3 linked regions of the Arabidopsis thaliana genome follow. The protein of the gene in region 2 interacts with the protein of the main gene of each other region in a pairwise test. Each region holds a gene or a part of one and is shown on either strand. Other genes may lie near its edges.

Evidence for each region. Proteins that work in one complex are often made in the same cells at the same time.
Region 1: the proteins of AT1G15900 (region 2) and AT4G12000 interact in a protein complementation assay, tested with the Arabidopsis thaliana proteins (one large-scale study listed by BioGRID).
Region 3: the proteins of AT1G15900 (region 2) and AT5G40670 interact in a protein complementation assay, tested with the Arabidopsis thaliana proteins (one large-scale study listed by BioGRID).

Annotation. Positions count from the first base shown.
Region 1 is NC_003075.7:7,192,033-7,196,771, reverse strand, and holds AT4G12000 (SNARE associated Golgi protein family), read left to right. Parts: upstream 1-1,555; 5' UTR 1,556-1,829; coding exon 1,830-2,108; intron 2,109-2,431; coding exon 2,432-2,668; intron 2,669-2,747; coding exon 2,748-2,965; intron 2,966-3,058; coding exon 3,059-3,245; 3' UTR 3,246-4,239; downstream 4,240-4,739. Other genes in the region: AT4G12005 (uncharacterized protein), read right to left, coding at 19-66.
Region 2 is NC_003070.9:5,461,761-5,466,420, reverse strand, and holds AT1G15900 (uncharacterized protein), read right to left. Parts: upstream 2,149-4,660; 5' UTR 2,066-2,148; coding exon 1,724-2,065; 3' UTR 1,474-1,723; downstream 1-1,473. Other genes in the region: FDM1 (XH/XS domain-containing protein), read right to left, coding at 1-470; AT1G15890 (Disease resistance protein (CC-NBS-LRR class) family), read right to left, coding at 2,460-4,660.
Region 3 is NC_003076.8:16,283,869-16,288,447, reverse strand, and holds AT5G40670 (PQ-loop repeat family protein / transmembrane family protein), read right to left. Parts: upstream 2,738-4,579; 5' UTR 2,481-2,737; coding exon 2,362-2,480; intron 2,271-2,361; coding exon 2,138-2,270; intron 1,859-2,137; coding exon 1,769-1,858; intron 1,677-1,768; coding exon 1,552-1,676; intron 1,462-1,551; coding exon 1,419-1,461; intron 1,338-1,418; coding exon 1,220-1,337; intron 1,121-1,219; coding exon 1,071-1,120; intron 992-1,070; coding exon 857-991; 3' UTR 501-856; downstream 1-500. Other genes in the region: AT5G40660 (ATP12 protein-like protein), read left to right, coding at 3,287-3,703, 4,085-4,259, 4,331-4,579. UniProt on the Arabidopsis thaliana protein: Thought to transport cystine out of lysosomes.

The sequences.
Region 1 (4,739 bases), on a different chromosome or scaffold from region 2:
TTGCTTGGATCAACCAACCTCGTGGATTCTGAAACTTTGTGAATCTTGTTTCACGTTTTTTTCCATCAAATTTATAATTTTGATAAATTTGGAATCCAAATTTCAGAGTATGGCCGAAGAGAAGATGGCCGGAGAGGTTTCAAGAGATATCCATTAAAATCCAAGAGCGGTGAAAGTGAGAATAGGCGTTTTTGTGACGAGTCGAGAAGAAGAAAATTCGATCTCGGAACAGTAGAAAAGTAGCTCGCGGGAAAGATATCGGAAATGTTGCCGTTTCGGTGGTGGAAGGCATTGCGGCGATGGCGTCGTCAGATTGTGGTGACAAAGACAAATCGAAATTGAGGAAATTGGGAAATTGCGAAAACCGGGTCCACGGAGAATACGGAATGTCGACCACAGTGGATTATTGGTCGGTGAAATTAAACACGTATAATAAAATTAAAATAAAAGCTCAAAAAGTGGGAAACCCGCGACAAGCTAACCTCCTTATTTGTGGCCACGTGTATGGCCACCATCTCACTTCGTTGATGAATGTCTAGTAATGCCTAGTAAGAAACCAACATATATTATTCAATTTAAAAATATATGTATTTAATATTTTACATTAACTATAATATTTAAATAGTAATTCAGATTAATATTAATATTAATAAAATAAATAAATTCTTATCGAGACAAATTTAACGGAACGAATTTTAAAAATAATATTAATAAAAAAATTAAAATATCATTAATATATTGTTTTAATATAGTTTAAGTTTTAAATTTATTATTTTTTGATACTATCAATATTATACATATAAATCAGTCTGATTTACAAAAATTATATAAAATAAAATATATATAGTAATATAATGTTTTTAGTAACAATTAAATTATAAAATATAAATATCTCAGAAAATGATATAATTTAAAAACTTATATATAATAAATAATTTTTAATTTTAATATTTTTATTAAATATTACATGAGATGAGTTAAGAGATTACAAGACGGTTTATATTGTGGAACGGATTATAGTAGATGAGTTTGAATCAATATTTATAAATTTTTAAAATATCAGTAATATGCTGGTTTAATACGAATTAAATCCTCAAGTTTTAATTATTGTTCTTAAATTCGTGGTATATGTTACTTAATAACAATCGTAAACAAAACAAAAAAAATATTATATAAAGATAAATAATTTAAAATTTTATATTTTATATATATATATATATATTAGAAAAAAAAATTATCATGCGGTATATTACGGATTTAAAATCTGGTTTTATAATATACACCTCCCAATCAAAACAAATTTTACAACTACACCAAAATATTTGTCCCTAATTATTTTGAGACCTTAAAATCTTACAATGTAAAATTTGGTAGGGGCCTTAAATTATTATTTTTTTTCTTTCTAACAATATCCACACGCTTTTATGCCGACATGGTCCAGGTGTTTTCAAACTACATATTTTATTATTTTTCGTCAACCGTGAAATAACTATTTTATATTTCCTAGAATTTTTGGTAAACTGAATAAAAAATATAAAAAAATGCAAGTAACGACGGAAGAAATCATAAAGTAATAAGAAAATAATTTAAAAGAATGGGTACATGCGTCAAGCCATGACATTAACAAACAAACCGAAAAAAGAAAAAAACTCATCTTTCTCCAAAATCACACAAATCTTCTTTATTTGTTATTCTCAATCCTTCCTTCATCCCCAGGTTTCTTTCGATTCGTTGAGTCATTCAATTTTTCCATCACTGGGTTTTTCTCTCTGAATCCGATCGGAGAATCCAGTCGATTACTAATCTAGCGCTCTCTTTTTTTCTACTCGATGACTTATCACGAAGAAGACGATACAGTTTCTGAATTTCGAGTTAGAGTTGAAGAAGATGGAGTTGATAAATTAGGTCATTATGTTAAACTTACTGAAGATTTCGAAGTACATCGACAAGAAACAGAACAAGAATCTTCATCATCACCGTCTTCTTCTTCTTCATGTGGACAGAAACGATCTGTTTGGTTTTGGATCAAGCTTGGTCTTTTCTTCACTTTTCTAACTGCTTTGGGTCTCGCTGGTTACAAATGGCTATACCCTTTAATCATGGATAAGGTTTTCAATTTCCTCCAATGATTTCTTGTTGAATTGATCTTCTTCTGAAAGTCTTCTTCTTTATCTATTGGGTTTGATTATAGTTTCAACTACTGAATTAGATCCTTAGTGTATAAAAGAGGTTCCTTTATGATTTTGGTTCATGTGAATTGAAACTATGTATCCCTACGATTAGCTCAGTATCCAATAACCAAAGTGAGGTTTCGTTGTTGATGTTCTGTGTCTAAAATCGGTAGATTTTCGATGCTGGTGACAAATTCAGTCAGTGACATATTTGGCTCTGTTGCTGATTATGGGATTATCCATTTAACTTTTGTTTGCAGGAGCTAATCCCACTCATAAAATGGGAGATGGAGACATTTACACACCCTGTGTGCGGTATTCTTGTGTTTGCATCAGTCTCTTTATTCCCTGTGATACTTATTCCAACTACGCCGTCAATGTGGGTGGCTGGGATTACATTTGGTTATTTCTATGGCCTTCTCCTTACTCTTCCAGCTGTAGCTATTGGTGTTTCACTTCCTTACTTCATCAGCTATCTCTTCCTCAACAAAATTCAAGTATGTGTCTCGCTTAAGAACCAGTTATATTCTTAGTAACGACTACTTTGTATGTTGCTGAAATTGATGAATGTTGCAGGGTTGGTTAGAAAGATATCCAGATCAAGCTGCAATGTTGAGAGCTGCTGGTGGAGGCAGTTGGTTTCATCAGTTTCGTGCAGTTACCTTAATCCGGATTTCTCCATTTCCTTTTGCTGTATATAATTACTGCGCTGTTGCAACTCGTGTGAAGTTCGGTCCTTACATGGCTGGTTCTCTCGTAGGCATGGCGCCGGAGATTTTTGTCGCAATTTATACGTAAGTGTGGAAATGACTTACAATTTTCTTGGTAATGAATGAATGATTGATTTAGCATCCTGATAGTATTTTTGTTTGTTTTGGTGTTTGCAGAGGGATTCTTATAAGGACATTGGCAGATGCATCCACTGCGGAACAAAAGGGTCTCTCGATTCTTCAAATTGTTCTCAACATTTTTGGTTTTGTAGCAACTGTTGTGACAACTGTTCTCATCACTAAGTATGCGAAAAGACAGCTTGAAGTTATGAAGAAGGAGAAGGAAGCTTTGTTGTTACAGTAATGGAGACAACAACCTCAGAAGTTATGTCTCTGCTTATTCCCAAAGTACAGGTTTTCGTCCATGATGTGAAAGAACTCTTGATTTTTGGTCTCTGTTTTGGTTTGTTTATAGCCGAGAAATGAAAGGGTATAAAAGAAATTATAATGACTATATAAACACTAACTAAACTCTCTAACACGATTTAATCTTATTTGCGTTTTCTCAATCTTTTGTTTTTTGATGTTTGAAAAGAATGGATCAATTGAAAACTTAAGATCATTACTCCTCCTTCGTTTTCTCGTTTATATTCTCTAGTAAGTATGAACTAACTATGAAGATTGGAAATTGTCTAATTGGTAAATAGTGCAAGTGTTGTGTCAGATATTCGTAGGTGACTAGTGAAAACTTGCACTTCGAATATTATGGGCTGCATTGAGAAAAAGCCCAATATAGCTTAGATGGCCATTTAATTGTTTCTATCAAAATCAAATGCGTCTCTTTTTCGAACTATAATGGTCAAGAGTTATTTGTAGCCTACGAGTACGACATTGCTATGCGTTCGACATATTAAATGGTGGAATTGAAGAAGAAACCTTAGCTATGATTCATCACAATATGTATGATCTATATTTTTTCAATTTGAAATAATGGAGTTATTCTAGACCAAATCGAATCTTTTGTTAAATGGATTTCTACTAAAATTAATCAAAGACTGTTTTAATTACCATTTTTTTTTTTTTGCGGTTTGTGAAACCAGTGTGAATCTGCCCAAGTGAAGAGTGCGAGAGATAAGAGGAGAAGAACTATATGGAGAGTTCTTGGGGATTTGAAGCTGCGGTTTTTCTAGTATCGGATTTGGACATCTATATTCTGCTTGAAAATTCACACTAGAAAATGAAGTGCTTCTGCGAGTCATTTGTCTCTTGCATAAGATACAAAGTGGAATTGAAATAACTTTATGTGAAATATATATAATTCTAAAATATGAAGCTAAATATAAACCAATTTTCTACATAAGCTTTTTCAAATTTTAAAGATATACTTACAAGAATCGATCAATAATTGATTCAGTTTTTTTATTTTTTTTTATTTTTATACTGGTGCATTTGAAGCTCTCCTAAGTCCTATAACACAACAAATATGTTCAACTACTCTCATCCCGAAATAAATGTTGTCTTAATTCCCTTCAAAAATGCTTTTGGTCCAAAACCCAATATCCTTTGAAACACTTTTGTCTAAAAGTATATGTAAAGCCATTTACATTTTGTCCTACCTATGAACCACAAAATTAAATATTTGTCTTATTCTCTAAATATTTCTTTTAGATTAAAGTATGTGTATTCAATCAGCAGTAAAAAAGTTACATGTCAAGACTTAATGTAGTTTGCATTTTCTGAATATTCTGGTTTGAATTAAACTATATATGCTTCTGACTCGGTACCACTTTCAACAGTCTATCTATGTGTCTTTTTCATGCGAATAAAATCCATTGCTCATTAATGGTAATTTGTCATC
Region 2 (4,660 bases):
ACCTCAATAGGCTTGAATTTGGAAAGGGTCTGCAGCCAATATGCTGAATCAAGTAGAAGTTCCTTGTCATCCGCTTCTTTCAAAGGGTTAACAACAATCCCCATCCATGGCCAGACATAGACGTTATGAGGGTTTGGTTCAGTCTCGTCTAACTGAGGAGGAACAACTGGAGGGCGTGGAACAGGTTCTGCATAACCAGCAAGCTCATTCTCTAAAAACATAGCTAAAGCAAGATGATTAGCCTTCTGTAAAGCACTTCTGGTGGCAGAACCTTTGGAAACCCCAGTAGCATGTGCATACAACTCCTTGTACTTGTAATCTTGCTTCTTCTTGCCTGCACAAAACGGGCATCTGAGCTGTCCATTCACCTTCACCTTGTAAGTCCCGTCGCGTAAAAGGCGGTAGGGTGTTTCAGAATAGTCCTCAATCTCTGACTCGCTGATCTCAGCCTCTTCATCAGAAATGCTCATCCTACCTGCTTTACCTGGAGAAAAGAATGATAACAAATGAAAAATAGCAACCAAGAGGATGATGCATTCACCAAACAAGCTAAATAGAATCTCTAAGAAATCGAAAAACTTTTTAGAGTTAAAATGAGTCTGTCACATCAGATAGTTCATGCAGCAAAGTTTAAAGCCCAAAAGAGACTCAATTTCTAGCAAACTGAGTCGATAGTATGGAAATCTTCAGAGCAAGAGAAACCCTAGGGAAGAACTTAAGGAAAAAATAAACTAGAGAAAGCAAAAGAGACGAAATTGATACAGCATTTACAAAACTCAGCTAAGAGATTCACGCATGTCGCATGCATGATAAGGAACATAGAGAAATCCAAAATATTTTCTTAAAGAAGAAGTGAGTAAAGGCATTGAAGCACGAAATGCCCAGAGAATAGAGAAAATCATTACTAGGGATTTCAATGAGAAAACAGAGAATAGAAGAAATCTGGAGCTTACGTTAGAGAGGGAAGGAAAGGGAAGACGGCGATGACCCAACGCTTGATGAAGAGTGGAGTATAGAGAGACAGTGAGGAGGATCCGAAGAAAATTTCTATGCCAATAAAACAAGAGTTAGGGAATAAAAAAAGCAATAAAGATGAAGAGGACTTGGAAATTGGAATTAATTTAAGAACAAAAAAAAAATGAATTAGGATTCAGAAAAAATAAATGCGCCAATAGAAGGAGAGTTAGGAAAAAGCAATATTAAAGATAACGACTAAAAACACATTGATGAAAGAAAAAGAAAAAGAAAAAAAATCATGTTTGACTCATGTTTGACCAAAATTCATTTTGGTCTTGGTCTTGGACATCATAATCTTTTCAATTTTGTTGGTTTTCAAATTTTGATGTGATGTTTCAAGCAGGCCAAATGTTTCTCTCCTTGATCTTCACAATGAATGAGCAAATGGCGAAAACGAATATTTGATATTGAGCCTAAACACTGAACTAATTCAAAATTTCAGATTTCATGAATCATATACTTTAGCAGCAATAATCTGAGTACAGTTTTATTCAAAACTGATTTACTTGAATCAACAATACTCTCATAAACTGTTTGTTGCATGTTTTCATTTCAACAAGTAAAATCAAAGGAGACTGATTACCAAAATTTTGTGATGATCAAACTTTTGATAAAAATTGCGAGATTATCCGTGGATACAACACTGACAAGCTTCAACGGAATATTTTCTACTGTGAATCGAATCGGCAGCAATAAGAAAGAAGATTCAAATCGGAAGGATGGGTCGGGTACGTGATCTTCGAGATTTCCAGAGGAGGAGAACCAAAGCAGCTATCACAACTCCAATGGCGTCCGCGACGGCGTCTCTAACGGAAGCACCTGCGGAAGGGAAGATACCAATTTGATCGGCAGCTTCTTTAGCCGCACCGGCGGCGAGTGAGAAAGCAGATCCGATCCAGATGGAGTGACGGCGTAGAAAGGAGTAGCGGGAGAAAGAGGCGAGAGTAGAGAAGATAAGAGAGATTGAGAAGCAGAATATTACATGGTATAGTTTGTCTCGAGCTAGCCAAGGATCTTCTCCATCGCCGCCATGAAATTGCGTCTCCATCTAGTGTTCTTACTGGAAGGCTAAAAACGGTTTTCCGCGTTACAAAGATTAGGAAACCTTTTAAAGTAATAAACTCAGAGAGATTAGAGTAAAGAGAGAATGATAACGCACTTGGAATTTTTTGAACTTATTAGACAAAAACAAAATACAAGTGAAAACTGAAAAAGGAAATAGTCTTTCAAAACTTTGAAAACAAGTTAATCGGGAACAAAAGCAGTGCACAAACAGAAACCAAATCAAGAAGTGAAAGGATATAGTCAAACAGAGAGTGTCAAATCAAGCAAGAATGAGGGAGATAGAAAAGCAGTACATCTGCGATCTGCGATAGCTTCATTCTCCAAAACTAGTACATAAGCCAGAAACCATCAGCTAGCACCGGAGCACCGTCCTCCCATTATTCATTGGCATGTCGCGGAAACTCAGTGGCAGCTTCCGGTAGCTTAAGGCAGCTTCGTACATCAAATTGTCTCAGGTTTGGAAGAGCCGGGGGATTCCAGCAGATTCTCTTTAACTCATCCAAACCCCTTACTTCAAGGAATTCCAGCTTCCCAAACGGAACAACGATATTTGGATGCACATTGGTAATACTCATTCCTTTCTCCTTGTTTATTATCTCTTCTATGGTTAATGACAGCGTCACAGATAGACGCCTGAGGTTTTGAGCAAACAACAGCCATGTTAAATCCCTTGGACCTTCCAAATTGAATATTTCAACAACAGAGAGGTGCTTAAAGCCAGGAGAACTTGTACATTTAAGCTCCCCTCTTCCTTTTCTTTCCCAATCTATCTTTATCTCTGAGATTTTGGAGCCCACGATTTCAAGGTGTTGAAGACCACCCAGAGCTACCGTGTTCAATATTATAACCGGTGCTGACATATTTCTGAGACATAAAGCTTGAATACTACTCACCAATCGGTCCACTCCTTGTATACTTTCCAAAATCAAGGCGTCCTTTATAGTTGCTGTTAAAACCTTCAAGTGCTCCAAGAGTAGTAACTCTTCCATTAAACTGCCATCAATACAAACACGAGAAGAAAACAATTTCAACACTTGCAGGTTTGGTAGGCTTGTAGCTATCCCAACAATACTTTCAAGTTCATCAGTAAACTCCAGATTCAAATGGATTAATTTCTTCAACTCCTTAAAACTAACTGGCAACCATTTTATCCCTGTTGTTGATAAGTTGATATATTGCAAGGAACCTAACTTAGAAATTGCTTCCGGCAAGCTAGAGAGACTCGAGTTCCTCGAAAGATCCAAGACCACGAGTGCTGGCATAAACCTAAAAAAGTCACATGATATATGCACCAACTTGTTATTCTGGAGTAATAGAGTTGAGAGGTTGGGAGAGTTGGAACTAGAAGATATATTTGCAATCTGATTGCACATCAAAGACATCCTTCTCAAACTTTCCCAATTGATGTCCTTTGGTATATGGCATAACTGCACACCGGGTTTCACACAAAGTGTTTCTTTCTGTTTTCCAAAGTTCGACGCTATCCAAAGAGCCATCTCGCGTATGACATCATGCATTTTCACTTTTGTTGTTAGTTCACCATCCATCAATAGATGTGCACGAACTAACGAGCCAATTATGTCATGACCTTTGTTGTTAGCTCCATCTTCATCTTCATTCCCATCTATAAATCCTTCACACATCCAATATTCTATCAACTCTTCCTTTCTTACTTCATAATCTTCCGGAAACAGGGAACAATAAAGGAAGCACAATTTGACTTTTTCATCTTTTAAATCATCATAACTGAACTTCAAAACAGGAAGAATTTTTTCTTCCATACTTGGGAACTCGTGGCTAGACGAGTTCAGAACATGAATCACATGCTGCCATTCCTGAACAGTCTCTCTAGATGCCATAGCTTTGCCAATGACACTGAGTGCAAGTGGCAAGCCACAACATTTTTCTGCTACTTTTCTTGCAAGTGTGGGAATATCCTCATGGCTCTGTAATGGGATTGGTCCAACTTTCTTTTGGAACAGTTCCCAGGCTTCATCCGGTGGCAAACAATCAACTTTCATCTCACCATCAACTTCCATATCTCTGCAAACATCTTTAGAACGAGTGGTGAAAACTATTTTGGATCCATTTTCTCGCGTTAGAGGTGGAACTCCAATCTTTTCTAAATCTACTTCGCTCCATAGATCATCCAATAACAGCACAAATTTCTTTACGTTGAGGATGTTGCATATGTAAGAGGCTTTCTCCTTTTCTGTAACTTGTTTCCATCCCCTGTGAAGACCTAGTCTTCCTAAAATCTGTTCTTGAATGCCTTCATTTTGCAAATCTTTAGAAACCACAACCCATATAACAAGATCAAATCCATTCATCCCTTCAAGGAATTTGTTGTTAATAGAAGCTAAGAGCGTGGTTTTACCTACTCCCCCCATACCATAAAGACCCAAAGTTCTTCGTTCATCTTTCATGAGGCTGTTCCATGCCCTTCCGACCATTGCATCCAACCCAACTGTGGTTTGGATATGCTTCTTCTCCACCTTAGGCGCAGGAATTTTCTCTGCCACCACTTCAAAAACTCCTTTAGCTAGAAGTCCTTCCACGTGTTTCAACTTTTTCAGTA
Region 3 (4,579 bases), on a different chromosome or scaffold from region 2:
AAAAGTTACTAAGATATATATAGAGGCTATCTTGCTTTTAATGATCTACAATGGTAGTCAAATGATATTAACCATCTTCCATAAAATACTATTGATAAATGTTTCAAAAACTTTGACTGTTTTGTTTAACTTTTCTACCATAAAAGAACTAATGAGTTTTACAGTTTTGACTGTTTTTTTTGGCAAACTTTTAATGAAGAATTATGAAGTTGACAAAAAAAAAGTTTGACTATCTTTTCAATTTCAAGTAAGTTACTTAGTTTTAAGTTATTTCCATGTTCCAAATGTATTATCAATGAACTTGAGAAATAAAGTTTGTCATGACAGAGTGATATACATATAGAAATTTCTGGTCATGATACGTATGGAAACAAGACAAGAAAGGATGGTGTTCACTGTTAATGGACTCCTATGGGGTACACTACAGCTCGCGATGCATCAAGTAGAAAACTGGAGATTAGAGAAGTGGGTAGAAAAAGCAGAGGACGCAAACGGAACCTTAGAGAAGACCCTATCGATATGCGCTGCCAAGAAGATGATGGTTCATGGTACCCCTCGAACCATAGTGACTTTGGTTGGATCTTGCATAGATATAACTCTTCTATGCTGTGCCTAAGACTACTAGTAGATGCACTACTATGGGTAATGGATCGTGCTCTATTAACTTTCATCTTGTTTCTTAAAATATAACCCAAGATCGAACATTGTATTATACATTTGCTGTTTCTGTGATAATTGATTTGATACATTAGACTGATATTACGACAATCTGAAGAGTTCTCACATTTGTACCTTTTTGTGATATAAACATATACAGTGGGAACGCTGAAACTAATGACTCTTGAGAATCTGATCTTTAAACATGTTCATGAGAAGAATCAATGAGTGGTTCGTTCGATTCCTCACCAGTTTCCGGAGATTTTGAGACTTTCTTCTCTGGGTATAACACATAGTGTTGAAACATGAAGAGGATGTCGAAAAATATTGATATCTGTTAAAAACAATTTGAGACGTTTATTAGAGACAGAGAGAGAATTGAACCAAAAAAAAAACTCCATCAATTTTCTTACAAGTGAGAGAAGAGTCTTTCCCATGTTCCCATAGAAATTCTTCCAAGAATCTGGAAGAACCAAAGGAAATAGATAGTTTTAGTTTTCTTTCAAAATGTTATTATCAGAGAAAACAAAAGCTATTGATGTGATAGAGAAGAGATTGTTACTTTGGTCAATAGATTGTATAACCATTTGCAGATAGTTAGCAAGTCCTCCAGTAAAATCGAGAAGAATATTCCCGATGCTCCACCCGACTGTGCTCTTCCTAGTGAAGTTCATCTTTGCCTGTGAAGCAAACACATAAAATCTGAGTAATGCTGATTCAATCAATAATGAAAAAAATTAAGGTTTGGAATCTTTTCTGACCTGTGGGATGTACTTGACGCATGTCATGAAGACCTGAATCGAACTATAACAATGAACAAATAAACCATTATCATCAAAACTGTTAGATTACCACTAAAAGAATTGGTTCAGAAGGCTTTGCGCAACAACTTACTTGAAGATTGAAATGAGCCATAGCCAAGAGTGTGTAGGTAATGCTATGAAGAAACAGATAGCTGCAAATCCCCACACAACAACCACAATACCTATAGCAAGTCTGGATACTTTTTGAGGTCCACGCTGAGAGCAAATCACTAGAAATCATCAGGAAAAAAAGAACACTTGTATGGGATAAAGAGACAAAGGCAAGCCTAAGAAACTTGATTACTCACTTCATAGATAAAGATCTGGAACAGTGTAACAGCTGTCATTACAACTGCATGGATCGAGAATGCAACATCATTTGCAGCCACAGGTATCATCTGAAATAAGCAACAATTATAACAAAACGACTCAAAAAAAATTAAACCAGCTCGAACAATCTAAAGCGTTTTTTTTTTGCTGAAACTTAGAAAGGAACAAACTTTTATCTTCAATTTTGACTTCATTAGCTAATAAGTAAAGGTAAACTTGTAACCATGAAGATAAGAGCCAACAAGAACCATCTTAGAATCCAAACAAAACTCATTTCTAGATTCCACAATCAAATTCATTAAATGCTTAATGCTTCAATGAATAACAGAGAGAAAGAGGAAACAAACCTCTTTATCGCCATAAGTGTCAAAGTACTGCTTTTGAATAACAGGACTAAAGTAGAGGCAGACATTGTAGATCATATACGACGAGTGCTTTGTCAAATTCAACATCACGAAGTCGAAGTTCAATCCAACAACACTTTCCCAAACACAACCAAGATTTCATCAATTTCAATTTCAACTACAGATATAGAAACAAAATCTCAAGAACAAAAGGTAGATTAGATTACCTTCTCCTACGGAAATTCAAAATCAGCTGTGGGTAAAAGCTAATTGACCACGAAGCAAACGCGATCCATCCAACGATTTCGTACGAGATCTCCAGCGGAATCGAATTCCACGACGCCATTTTCCTCGATCTCGATCGTCTGTTCGATTTCTCCAAATTTTGTTCTCGACGTTGACGGAGATTTTTGAAGAGCCTTAAAAAGAGCTAAAAGCAGAAAATATTATTGGGGAGTGAAATAAAACAGTTTCAAAAAATTATGGGTCTCATGATGAAGATGATGACGTGTCATGATCTGGGAGAGTCTAGTGATATAAGATTCCACGATCTTAGCGTGATGGGTGAAGCAGGTGATTTTAATGAGCCTTATCTCTGAATCTGGCGCTCTTTATGGTTACGTTCTTTCTTTAAAGTTTTGAAACCGGCGGCTAAAACGATGCCGTTTTGAGTTAAGTTTCAGCATTTTTGACTCGGATCATTTTTTTCTCGGGACTCGGATCACTTAATTAACAAAACTTTTGGATTTAGAGTAATAAAATTTACTTATTTGGGTAAGAATACTTTAGTTTATTTAATTTACGGATGAAACAATACATATCACATAATGAATTGGTGTAAGTGTAACTCTTGAAAATTATAGAAAAGTTTACAAACTAAATTTAGCCAATTTTTTTAAAAAAGATTGTCTATATAACCCAAATGATATTTGTCAAAAAATTCTTTACAAATATTATATTACAGAGCTGATTACAATGAGATAGAATAAAATTGTAATTATAATCACAATTATCAAAACACCTTCATTGTAGTAGAGGTTAACTATCACTCCGGGTTATTGCGACGTCGTTTAGGCTTGGATCTGACGATCTATGTGATCTAAAACCCTAAGCAAGGAGGTCCCCATTTTCGTCACCGGAGAGGGAGGATTAATGGCGGCGATGTTAATCGGAAGAGCTTTTAAGTCAGCGAGAAACTCTAATCTTGCTATTCGTGCTAGATCCTTATGTACGACATCTGCCGCTCGTCAACCCGATTCCGATACTCAGCCATCGGAATCTTCGTCGTCGTTCACATTCGAGAAGGAAAATGAGAAACCCATCTTAGTGAAAGCTCCGAACTCTCGCCGGAAAAACGAATCGGATTCAGTGACGATGCCGACGTCTTTCATGACTGGTTCGATCGTAGGGAAGAGGTTTTACAAGAAAGTGACGACTAGAGAAGCTGATGATGGAAATGGATGGACTGTGATGCTTGATTATAGAACCCTTAAAACCCCTTCGAAAAGACCTCTCAAGCTTCGTTCTTTGGCACTTGCTAAGGCCATTGCTGCTGAGTGGGAGTATCAGGTTTGTTCCATTTCACTAATTTGATCTGTTTTACTTCTAAAGTTTATTGCTTTAAGCTATTTAGCTATTGTTTTGTAGCTGATCAGTACTGGGTTTGATTTAAGTTAGCTAGAATCCTTGTAATTGGGTCTGCTCATTGCTTATTCAACTTAAAGCTGAGAGCTTACCGTTCTTTAGTGTCCCTAATGTTTGATCGGTTTCTGGACTTTGCAATCTGAGTTCTAATGTGATCAATAGGTTGATAATTCGATTAGTTGAAGTGAGATTTAAAGAACTAGGCTTGCAGTTCTCTAGCTCATTTTCTCTTGTGATCCTTTTGCATCTACTTATGTTTGTGTGGTAGCTGACTCGGTATCAATCAATACGATGATCTTGTGTTAGCTAACAGAAGGGATCAGACCATTCACAATGCCGCTTATGAGACTAGCATGTACTGCACTTGAAAGAGTTCCTCTTACGCGTTCAAAGATCATAGAACATTTATCGAGAAAGATACATCAAGATCTCGTCTTTTTCCGAGCACCTGAAGATAATGATCTAACTAGTGACGTCCATGGTAAAATACACTTTCTCTTCAATTTCAACTACCTCCTAGATTTTACACTTATTGAGTTGTGTCTTTTGCAGATATTCAGGTAGAGAGTATTGATCCTCTACTTGAGTGGATAGAGTCAGAGTTTCGGGTCAAACCGAAAGTGTATTCTAGCATCTTCGGGGGTAAACAAGACGACAAGCTAGTGAAAGCAGTAGAAGAACTGCTCAAGAAAACGAATGATGGTGAACTCGCAAGCATTGATGCACTCCAAGCATCAGCTCACTCTATAGTAATCGCCCTCGGTATCTTCTGTGGGAAACTCCAGATCGATGATGCAATCA